2 linked regions of the Drosophila melanogaster genome follow. Changing the gene in region 2 together with the main gene of any one other region gives a genetic interaction. Each region holds a gene or a part of one and is shown on either strand. Other genes may lie near its edges.

What was found.
Region 1: of okr (region 2) and c(2)M, changing one enhances a phenotype caused by changing the other (phenotypic enhancement), as found in Drosophila melanogaster (one study listed by BioGRID).

The regions. Positions count from the first base shown.
Region 1 is NT_033779.5:16,301,249-16,306,440, reverse strand, and holds c(2)M (crossover suppressor on 2 of manheim), read right to left. Parts: upstream 3,178-5,192; 5' UTR 3,090-3,177; coding exon 2,959-3,089; intron 2,880-2,958; coding exon 2,716-2,879; intron 2,660-2,715; coding exon 2,379-2,659; intron 2,320-2,378; coding exon 2,136-2,319; intron 2,082-2,135; coding exon 1,697-2,081; intron 1,645-1,696; coding exon 1,337-1,644; intron 1,279-1,336; coding exon 1,144-1,278; intron 1,087-1,143; coding exon 962-1,086; 3' UTR 501-961; downstream 1-500. Other genes in the region: CG5861 (uncharacterized protein), read left to right, coding at 121-482; GMF (glia maturation factor), read left to right, coding at 3,668-3,670, 3,830-3,923, 3,990-4,180, 4,236-4,364; CG17328 (uncharacterized protein), read right to left, coding at 4,833-5,192.
Region 2 is NT_033779.5:2,988,787-2,994,366, reverse strand, and holds okr (okra), read left to right. Parts: upstream 1-1,607; 5' UTR 1,608-1,657; coding exon 1,658-1,660; intron 1,661-1,717; coding exon 1,718-3,032; intron 3,033-3,088; coding exon 3,089-3,242; intron 3,243-3,300; coding exon 3,301-3,706; intron 3,707-3,767; coding exon 3,768-3,931; intron 3,932-3,987; coding exon 3,988-4,300; 3' UTR 4,301-4,773; downstream 4,774-5,580. Other genes in the region: CG3558 (uncharacterized protein), read right to left, coding at 1-632; Bem46, read right to left, coding at 4,856-4,970, 5,030-5,208, 5,286-5,580.

The sequences.
Region 1 (5,192 bases), about 13 Mb from region 2:
TTCAGATATATTAATGTTACAAGAGCCAATGCCTACTCAACCTTTAATACCCCAACCCATATATGTATGACAACTTCCAAAAATTTAGTAAAAACTAAATATTTTCGTATACTTCCGCAGGGGCCACCGCCGAAGTGATTCTTTCCCGAGGTATCATGCTGTGGGTGGGTGCCCGAGGCACCGAGTTCAGTTGGATCTACATCCTCAAGTGTCTGGAATCGAACGTGCTTCTGGTGCAGCACATCACTACGGCCACCCTGATCTGGCTCTTCACCCGTCACGATTTGAACAAGGCATTAAAGCCGCTGGTTAGTCTACTTCTGGCGGTGACTGTCTTCAAAGGCGTCTGGCTGGAGGGCATGCTCCACATTCTGACCATTGGACCTTGGCTAACGGTGGCTGTTAAAGCGCTGGTGGCGGCCGTCATTGGATTCTGCACGCTGCACATCTATTCGGGTCTGGCCCAGCAGATCGGAATTTAAGCAATTGTGCCAAACACTCTGTATTCCTTTGTTTTTGTAACTTGTTTATTTTTTGGTGTTGTCAGAGAAATTGAGATTTTGTAACAAAGACAACAATTACGGTTTAGAGAATTACTCCAAATGTTAATGAATTATAGCTACGATAACGTAATAGTAACAAAGATAACAAACAACTTTTAATGGGTACACGAAACTAATATGATAATGAAAAAAAAACTATTTTTATAGACAGCAACAAGTAACATCTATAGAATTTTTCAATTCTTGAAATGAAACGAATTATCCAGGACATCGTTGCTCAATTGTACCATAAGATTGTATGGAAAAAGAGTAGATTAAAGCCATCTAGGTTAGAGATTGGCTCAACTTATATGTTATAACACAATAGCAATAACAGAAAACAAAACAACAACAAAAATGTGGAAGATTGTCAACTACAAAGTTGTTTGGTAATCTTGAAAAAAATTATCTAAAAATATTCACAGAGTCTCACTCAGCATAAGATTGTCTATTAGCTTAGCGGACTCTTTGCCAAGAGTAATTTGGTACATTTCCAGCGAATTAGCTCGCTTTGATATCTCTATAAAATGGTCTCGAACAAGATCTGAAATTTAAGCTATACGTTATTTCCAACACACATTTTGTTCTTTTTCGAACTCACACAACAAATGGAGAAAGGCTAACGAAGCCTTGATGCGACTATCAAACGTTTTTATAAAATCAATGGCATCGATTCCCGTGATTTTCGGATTATTACGCCAAATGCTTAAGAGACTCATCATTACGCTGTAGGTATCTGCAATGAGATTATATTTTATTTACGATAGCATGTTGTAAACATTGGCTGAACTCACCATCATGATTATCCTCACGGTATATGCCGTGCTCATTCATTTCATTATGATAATTCTGATTTACATCATCACGTGGCTGAAGTTGAGGTTGCACACAGTCTTCCACTTCAAGCGGTTCGGGCTGATAGATATGTGCCGCTTTATCCCTACATTTTGTAGCCTGCGATGGTCGCACAAATATCTCTTTAGAAAGATTCTCGGTAAACTCGCAGCCAAATATGGTTCTCAATGTGTTTTCTGCCTCGAATTCCTTTTCTTCATTACTGAGCTTAGGTCCGGAGTGGTTATGAAGAGCTAAAAAACTTACACTACATCAAAAAATTAAAAAGTTTTAAATAGCAAAATGTATAAGGCTCCTACTTATTATACAGTTTACAGAGAAGTTCCTTAGGGGGTTTCCGTAAATCCGAGGATTTTGGCACTATCACATTCCTTGAAAGGTATTCTTCCATATATTTCTGTCTATGCTTCACCAGCTGCTCCCGGGTGTATTCAATTCGTTTGTCTACTATTAGCTTTCTTTTCCGATTTTTCGGGTGGCTAAATGTTATTTCTCCAAAAGAATTTAAAACGGATGGCAACGACGGTTCACAAACTATCTGAGTTACTTCAGCTGGTTCAATGTTATGCGGAAAGATTTGGGTCATGATAGCATTGTCAGCTTGGAAAACATCGCAATCATCCAATCTGGGCATTTTATCCGGTAAGATGTCAGTTGGATCCTGAGCTATTGAGTGTCGCTTTACTATAATACAAAAAAATAGTTTATTACATTTTCAATTGAATTGAGAATTCTTACGTGAGTTCCGTGTGCCATCTTTGGGGTAAAGCTCTTGAAAAATGGTTAAGTCCGCGCCCTCGGCTTCGCCAAAACCATTTGATGGCATAATTAAGCTATGATCTTCGGGAAGTTCAATCTCTTCGGTGATTGTAATGGAATGATACGACTTTGACTGAGTGCAACTCCGGGGTTGTTCAATAGACTTTTTGCGAAAAATGAAATCATATAAGGAAGCAGTCCAACAGTATATTGACGACTAACCTCGTTCAGGTCCTCCACCACCTGTTGTGTGCACTCCGTTTGCCACATCTGGCATTCGGATAGCATCTTCTCGTAGTATTCATGTGAGAATTCATCCAATAGATCCGATTCCTGCAGTCTGGGACGTTTTGATACTGTTACTTTAGATTTCTTGGTGATCACCCGCTTTCCTTTGCGTTGGATTCGAATCTCTGATTTGTTGACCACTACGGATTTTGTTGTGGTGAGAACGTAATCCAAGTTGGTACGTGTACATTGGTCAAGTAATACCTTCGTGTCCCCTGTAAGAATTCGTGATTATATATCAATGTTACGTAATATTCGGACTAATACTTACCCAAAAGTAGATCCACTTGGCATCTAAAAATATCCGCAACTCCAAAAACCAAGCGGGAAATGTCCTTGAAAATAACATTTTGCCGGTTTCTTGCGGCCAAAACATTGGATCGTTTCTGGCGTTTTCTTAATGCATTTTCCTCAATTAATTCGGTGATTTGCTTGCTGAAATGTAGATAAATGTTGAAAACAATTGAATATAATGAAATGTTAAAAAAATTCATTATATTTAATATTTAATTACCAGCAGGCGACTACATCCACATCAGCGATCTCATTTCGATTAAGTTGGCCAAATGCCGATTTCCTCGGTTTGCGCCCTCCCGCTTTCCAGCAGGAATTAAGGATGTTGCTCTCATATAAATTCAAGCTCATTGTAACTACGACATTAAGCACATAGATTATAGTATTAACTATTTATAAGTTAGTGCTCTCTGTAACAACCCTAAAGTAACGGTACTTTTTTGACAGTCCATCAGCCACTAGAGAGGACAAACATGATCCAAATATCGTATACGAACGATTTTTACCTACTATAAAATAATGATAAGTTTTAAGTATATCTACAAAACATTTTTAAAAAAGAGCGTTCCTATTTCAATCTAAAAAATACATTTCAATTATTTTTAATAAATTCCATAAATAATACCAATGTTGCCGTAAAGAAAAAAGCTTAATGAAAAAAAAACCTTTAGCAAATATTGTTATTATTTTTTAATTTATCAGAAACGTCGTTTAACAACACTTCACATATTTTTGATGCAGCACAGAATATTATTTGGCGTTCAGTGAACGGTCTCACTGCAGGAACAACAAAACAAAACTCAGAATAAACGACAGTATTTAAACGATTCCTTAAGGACAAGTGATATTGCATTCCTACAATTAACTGCCAAAAATTCGGTAGTGCAGCACACTTTACAGATCGCATCCCTAACTTCATAGCTAAAGTTATGGTAGGAAGTGTATATAGGGTCGGAAATCAATTACCAAAATGAAAACATGACTAATAGAGTGTGGGCGTGTTTTTGTTTTTGTTTTTCAATCGACGATTGTTGTTAGCAGATAACTTTGGTGATTCCAATTCATTAATCAATTATATCGATTTCATACAGAGTGATAACCAGATATGCGACATAAGCAACGAAGTTCTGGAGGAATTGAAGAAGTTTCGATTCAGCAAGAGCAAAAATAATGCGGCTTTGATATGTAAGCCTTGATTGTCATGGTAACAGATGTGTGTAGTTTTTATGACCACTCCATTGTCCCTTGCAGTGAAAGTCGACCGGGAGAAGCAAACGGTGGTGCTGGACGAGTTCATCGACGATATTTCGGTGGACGAGCTGCAGGATACATTGCCAGGACACCAGCCCCGATATGTCATCTATACGTATAAAATGGTCCATGACGATCAGCGCATTTCGTACCCAATGTGCTTCATATTCTACACACCCAGGGATAGCCAGGTGGGAGTTTAGCAATGCTCAAATATATTCTATAATTCATAACTCTCTGTTTCAGATCGAATTGCAGATGATGTACGCCTGCACGAAGAGCGCTCTTCAGCGCGAAGTAGATCTCACACGCGTCTACGAGATACGCGAACTAGACGAACTCACCGAGGAGTGGCTGAAAGCCAAGCTCAAGTAGAGAGGTTTCGATCTCTGGGATCAATCAATCCGGGCCGTTGTCAAAAGCAATATTTTATGATAGTTCTCTGATTGATTTTTGAGCTTTTTATATACATATTCAAACTGGATTAAGCCGATACCAACGATGCATACCAATACCAAACAAACCAATATTGAGATACTACAATTTTTACCTACAGAAAACACAAATCAAGCTTAGTTTATACAACAATGACATTTTTATATCGACGACAAGTATGCGACAAGTACGCGCGGGGAGTTTTTAGTGATTTTAGTTCTTGCATTTAAGTAATAATCTTAATAGAAGCTGTGCTTGCCAAATTTCTACATGTATTTATTGTAAAGATATAAAAGCAAACATGACAAAATATTCCATTTTATATAGACAAACTAAATAAAAGTGTTCAATATCAAAACATAATCTAAAACAATAATTATGATTAAGATAAATCTTCGTAGCTATACTCTAATAATGTAGTCTTTGTGCCGCCGTGTGGTGCAGCATAGTGTAACGTCCTTCACTTGGCGTTGGCGGTGGAGGCGGCGGCGGTGCCAACATGTGAGCCATTGCAGCCATTCCCATTTGTGTGGCGGGATTCGGTGGGCCGAGATGATGCAGTGCATCGTGATGGTAGTGATGCGACATAGGTGGTGCAGGAGGCAACGGCAAATTCAGTAGATTATTATTCGCCGCATGCGTGCGAAAATGTAGACTTAGGCTGTCCGCCGTATCAAATGCCTTGTCGCAATCCGGACACTTGAAGTGGGCGTGATCGAGGGTGTCCAGACCCACGGGATCCGTGTCTATAGCCTCATCATCATCATC
Region 2 (5,580 bases):
AATATCTGCTCCTGCACCTGCGTCTGGGCGGAGAAGAAAAAGAGGTCCAGCAGGTGGACATTCTGCATAAGAACCACGCACAGCTGGTTCAGCAGGATCACCAGGCGCTTCTCGAGATCGGGCGGAAAGATCTCGCCCTGGCTGGATGCCAGTATCTTGAGCAGGGGTCGCAGGAAGGGCTCGTGGCAGAGCAGCTGGTGGCGCGAGTGGCTGACGAGCAGTTCGTACAGCTTCAGCTGCTCCAGCCTCACAGCGTTGGCATACCGTCCCGTGGTGCAGGCCCACTCGTACAGCTTGTCCAGCAGATTCTCGCTGAGCAGGAATTCCAGGCAGGGCGCCGCAGGCGGACCACTAGCCTCGGCCGCCGGCAGCGAGACTTTGTTGCAGTGATGCAGCTCCACGAGCAGCAGGGTGACCATGTAGTCCAAGTGCGAGACCACGCCCAGCACGTCGTCGTGCGAGGGCGGTGCACTGTGCTGGATGATCTCGAAGGCCTGCTGCCAGTGCTTACAGAAGCTGTCGTAGCAAGCGCGCGGATCGCAGTCTGTGGCAGCGTCGATGGGTCGCTGTCGCAGTGGGCCGACGTGTCCGACGGAGGCAACGCCTCCACCGCTGCTCTGGCGCAGCCACATCGTTGTCGGTGCGGTGTGTGTGCGATTCGGTGGCTTTTAGTGGCGCTGGTCCGCTGATAACTGCTCCGTGTGCGTTTCGTTTGGCATGAATTGGTGGTGCTGGTGCTCTGTTATCTCTCGTTTTGTGCTTTTGTCCGACTGTGTGAGTGGTGAGTATTTCAATGTTGCTCGCTTTTTAAATATTTAGAAGCTAAAAGAAGACGCACTTTAGTTGAATATTCGCTATTTACTTTTCTCTAATGTTCCCAAGAACAACAAGTGACACACTTACGCACACAGCCACACACACACCTGTGTACGTGTGCCCACCTATTTGGGCACTCACTGTGGTTGTTGTTGCTGCTGCTGCTCGCTCACCTGATGAATTTAGATTTGATCATCGTCATCGTCTCCGCTGCTTTCCGCTCTCCGTGCATCGTGCATCTACACCCATTACTGTTTAGTGGCCCTTCTTAGATGGGTTTTCACGCTTGCAGCATTTGCAGCGTTTTTTTTTTTGGCACTTTGGCAATTACAATTACAAATACAATTAAGTGGTAGTACCAACACTTCCGCAGATTTGCGGACTAGATTTGCGTTCTTGCAGCACGAAATTCGCGCTTTTGGCGCGGGTTTTGAAGTCAAGAAAGGGAAGGCAGTCCGGCCCGCACTTTATTGCCTCATTTTGCACTATTTTCGTAGTGTTTCCAAAGCAATTCTGCGTAAATATTTACAATTATATCTGCACGGAAATAGAAAGTTAGCGATGAGCAGCTATCAATATAACATATCGATGTTTCGATTATACCTGAGATACATCGGGAATTTTTGACATCGGGGTGTAGCAATTCCATTTTAGTTTTATTTTTATCTAATTATCTATTCACTTTTAAAACAGCGTGCTATGATCACAAGTATTAGTTTGATTAAATGCGTTCTGTTTCATTATCCCAGCGTTCCACTTACCAGTATTTCTTATCGCCTGTGTGACCAGACTTCCGCGCTTCTATCAGCTGTTCGCGCTACCGCCATTTGAATTTAATGAAATGGTAAATACAAAAATTTGATTTATTTAATTCCATTTCCCTAATCATTTATTCCTAAAGCGGCGCAGTCTGGCTCCCAGCCAACGTGGACCACTGCGTCCCGAGTCCCGTCACTCCTTCACGCCGCCACTGCTGAAGAAAAACAAGCGATCCTGCCAGCAGGAACTGGAGCGAGAGCAAGAACTGGACAGAAGACGACTGGGCGCCCTCCGAGATGCCAGCAACACATCAGAGCTCCCACTGCCTATTCGCTTCACGGCGAACAGCGAGTATGAGTTGGCCATTGCCAAGGTTCTGGCACGGAAGTTCAAGGTGCCCATGGACAATTACGTACCGGATTACGGTGGTAAACGGGTCCTGGGCGTGCGGCGCTGCATTTCCCGACGACCCCTACACGATCCGATGGCCTGCAACGCCTTGGTACTCTTCCATCCACCCGCCTACACAGAACACGAGCGCATGGGCATGGATCCGACCAAGGTTCTGGTGCACGTCGTCGTCGATCCGCTGCTGAGCAACATATTGCGGCCGCACCAGCGCGAGGGAGTGCGTTTCATGTACGAGTGTGTGGAGGGAAAGCGGGGCAACTTCAATGGATGCATCATGGCCGACGAAATGGGTCTCGGGAAGACGCTGCAGTGCGTAACGCTGGTCTGGACACTTCTAAGGCAGGGGCCCGAGTGCAAGCCGACGATCAACAAAGCCATTGTCGTGTCTCCATCATCGCTGGTTAAGAACTGGGAGAAGGAGTTTACCAAGTGGCTTCACGGTCGACTCCTTTGCCTGCCCATGGAGGGCGGGACCAAGGAGAACACCATCCGAGCACTCGAGCAGTTCTCCATGACTTCTGCCCGGCTGGGGACACCTGTTCTGCTCATCAGCTACGAGACATTTCGCATCTACGCGGAGATCCTGTGCAAGTACGAGGTGGGAATGGTGATATGCGACGAGGGACATCGCCTCAAGAACAGCGACAATCTGACGTATCAGGCTCTCATGGGACTGAAGACAAAGCGACGGGTCTTGCTTTCCGGCACTCCCATCCAGAACGATCTTACTGAGTACTACAGCCTGGTGAACTTTGTAAACCCGGAGATGCTGGGAACGGCGGCCGTGTTTAAGCGCAACTTCGAGAGCGCTATTCTGCGGGGCCAGAATACTGACTCCACGGAACAGGAGCGACAACGGGCCATAGAGAAGACACAGGAGCTGATAGGTCTGGTCGATCAGTGCATCATTCGTCGCACTAATCAAATTCTAACCAAATATCTGCCGGTTAAGTTTGAAATGGTTATCTGTGCGAAACTGACGGCGATTCAACTCGAGCTATACACGAATTTCTTGAAGTCTGATCAAGTTCGACGTAGTTTGGCGGGTAAGTCATTAGGCAATACTACCACAACATTCCTACCATTTACAATTCCCTTCAAGATTGCAATGAAAAGGCTTCGCTTACGGCGCTGGCAGACATTACAACGCTTAAGAAGATTTGCAGTCATCCGGATCTCATATATGAGAAGCTCACTGCGCGGGAAAAGGGATTCGAAAACTCCCAAAATGTGCTGCCTAGTAATTACAAACCAAAGTACGTCGCCTGTTGCGCGCGAATAGCAATGGCTATTAATGAATCTTTTGTGTTCCAGGGATCTCAATCCAGAGCTAAGTGGCAAGTTCATGCTCCTGGATTTCATGCTGGCAGCAATACGTGCAGAGGGCAACGACAAGGTGGTTCTCATTTCCAATTACACACAGACCCTGGACTTGTTCGAGCAGCTCGCGAGGAAGCGAAAGTACGGATTTGTCCGGCTTGATGGCACCATGTCCATCAAGAAGCGATCGAAGGTTGTTGACCGATTCAATGACCCGGAGTCTGACAGCTTCCTTTTCATGCTGAGCAGCAAGGCTGGCGGCTGCGGCTTGAATTTGATTGGAGCCAACCGCCTGTTCATGTTTGACCCAGACTGGAATCCGGCCAACGATGAGCAGGCAATGGCCAGAGTGTGGCGTGACGGGCAAAAGAAGCCCTGTTACATATATCGCCTCGTTGCCGTGAGTACCTGAATTGGTTCTGCACGGAACTTTCTTTTTCAACTCAAGAAATCTCTTTCAGAGTGGTTCCATCGAGGAGAAGATCCTGCAGCGACAGACGCACAAAAAATCCCTGTCGAGCACCATCATTGACAACAACGAGTCGGCCGAGAAGCATTTCACCCGCGACGATCTGAAGGACTTGTTTACATTTGATGCGAACATTCTGTCCGACACACACGACAAGTAAGAACTGGCTTTGGATACCCTTTAGATCATGATCGTGTAACATATCTTTTCAGGCTCAAGTGTAAGCGCTGCGTTCAAAATATACAAATGAAGCCACCGCCCGAGGACACGGACTGCACCTCGCATTTGTCACAATGGTACCATTGCTCCAACAACAGAGGCCTGCCTGACAATATTCTCGCCCAGGCCTGGATGGATTGCAAGTGCGTGTCCTTTGTCTTCCACCACCGATCGCAGGCTCAGGAAATTGTGCCGAGTGCTGAGGAGGAAGCAACAGATCAGCCAGAGGAAAAACCAGAAAGCCGCAAACGATCATCCACGCCCGCCAGTGATGACAGTGCCGATGAGGACTTCCGTGGATTCTAGCAATTGTTTGCAGTTTATTGTTTCTCGAATTTCCTTTTTCTTCGCACTTAAGTCTAAACTTAAGATAACTTTTTCTGGCTTCCTTTGCAATCCTAACAAGTTATTAATTTAACATTTCAAAAATGGAACCAGCACAAAATGTTAACGTGCTAGGGGTGAAGGCTTCTATAAACTAATCTGGCAATGTAGGAGTCAGTCCAGAAAATAGTTTACTTTTTTGTGAAATACTGATCAATTTCTATACTCTTAACTGGCCGCCAATCGGGCAAAGTAGTAGGTTAACATAGCTTAGGACAAATACAAGCAAACATCGAAATTCGGATTCTAGTGTGTATTCACTTGCTTAAGCGCAAAGTTATTTAAGTTGGTTACTTAAAATCAACAGCCATCTCCGCTAGCACGTTATTCTCTGCACATAAAAAGCAATTTGGCGTATAGCAACGTCCGGATTAAAACCCTGTCAGATACAGATTAATATTATGCGTGTGTATATGTATAAGTATTAAACCATTCGCAGTGTTAACACAGTCAATTGAACACTTGATGTATTCGGGTCTATACATCAATAATTTTATGCTCCAGCTCCACCCAGACGTTGCTCTTCTCCGGCGCCTTGAGGAGCGGCTGTTGCTGCAGCTCGGCCAAAAACCCACCGATGGCCTGATAGTACCTAAAAAGCAAGCACACCCATGGATAAATGGGAAAGTGAAGATTAATTGCCGGCCATACCCGTCCACTATCCAAGTGTCGTTGTGCGATCCGCCGGGGAATTCGAGCAGGCGCTTTATCTCGCTGCCGCATTTGGTATACAAGGCACGCATCATGCGCGGTGGCACTAAGTTGTCCGCAAGGCCCGAAATAAACAAAAAGGGAACCGAACACTTGCCTATCTTGCTCATGGAGTGATACTGCATGTGAAACAACAAACAATAATGTGGTAATGAGATAAAGTAAACAGAGGGCTCAACCGGCGACGACTACCCACCTTATTCTTAAATAATAGATTTGGTATATACTTCACAGCGGGATGCACCAGCTCCACGGCCATTTCCGGTATGCTGCTAAAAGTGTTCTCCACAATAGCGCACATTAGCTTCTGTCCATATACGGTATCGGCTGCAACGTCGACCACCACAGCTCCGCCCAGGGAGCGTCCGAAAAGTATCAGTTGCGAGTGGTCCAGGTCGTGGCGGGTGTGCAGGTAGTCAATGGCCGCTCTGGCGTCGGTGACCAGACCCCGCTCGGTGGGTACACCGGTGGATAGGCCATATCCGCGGTAT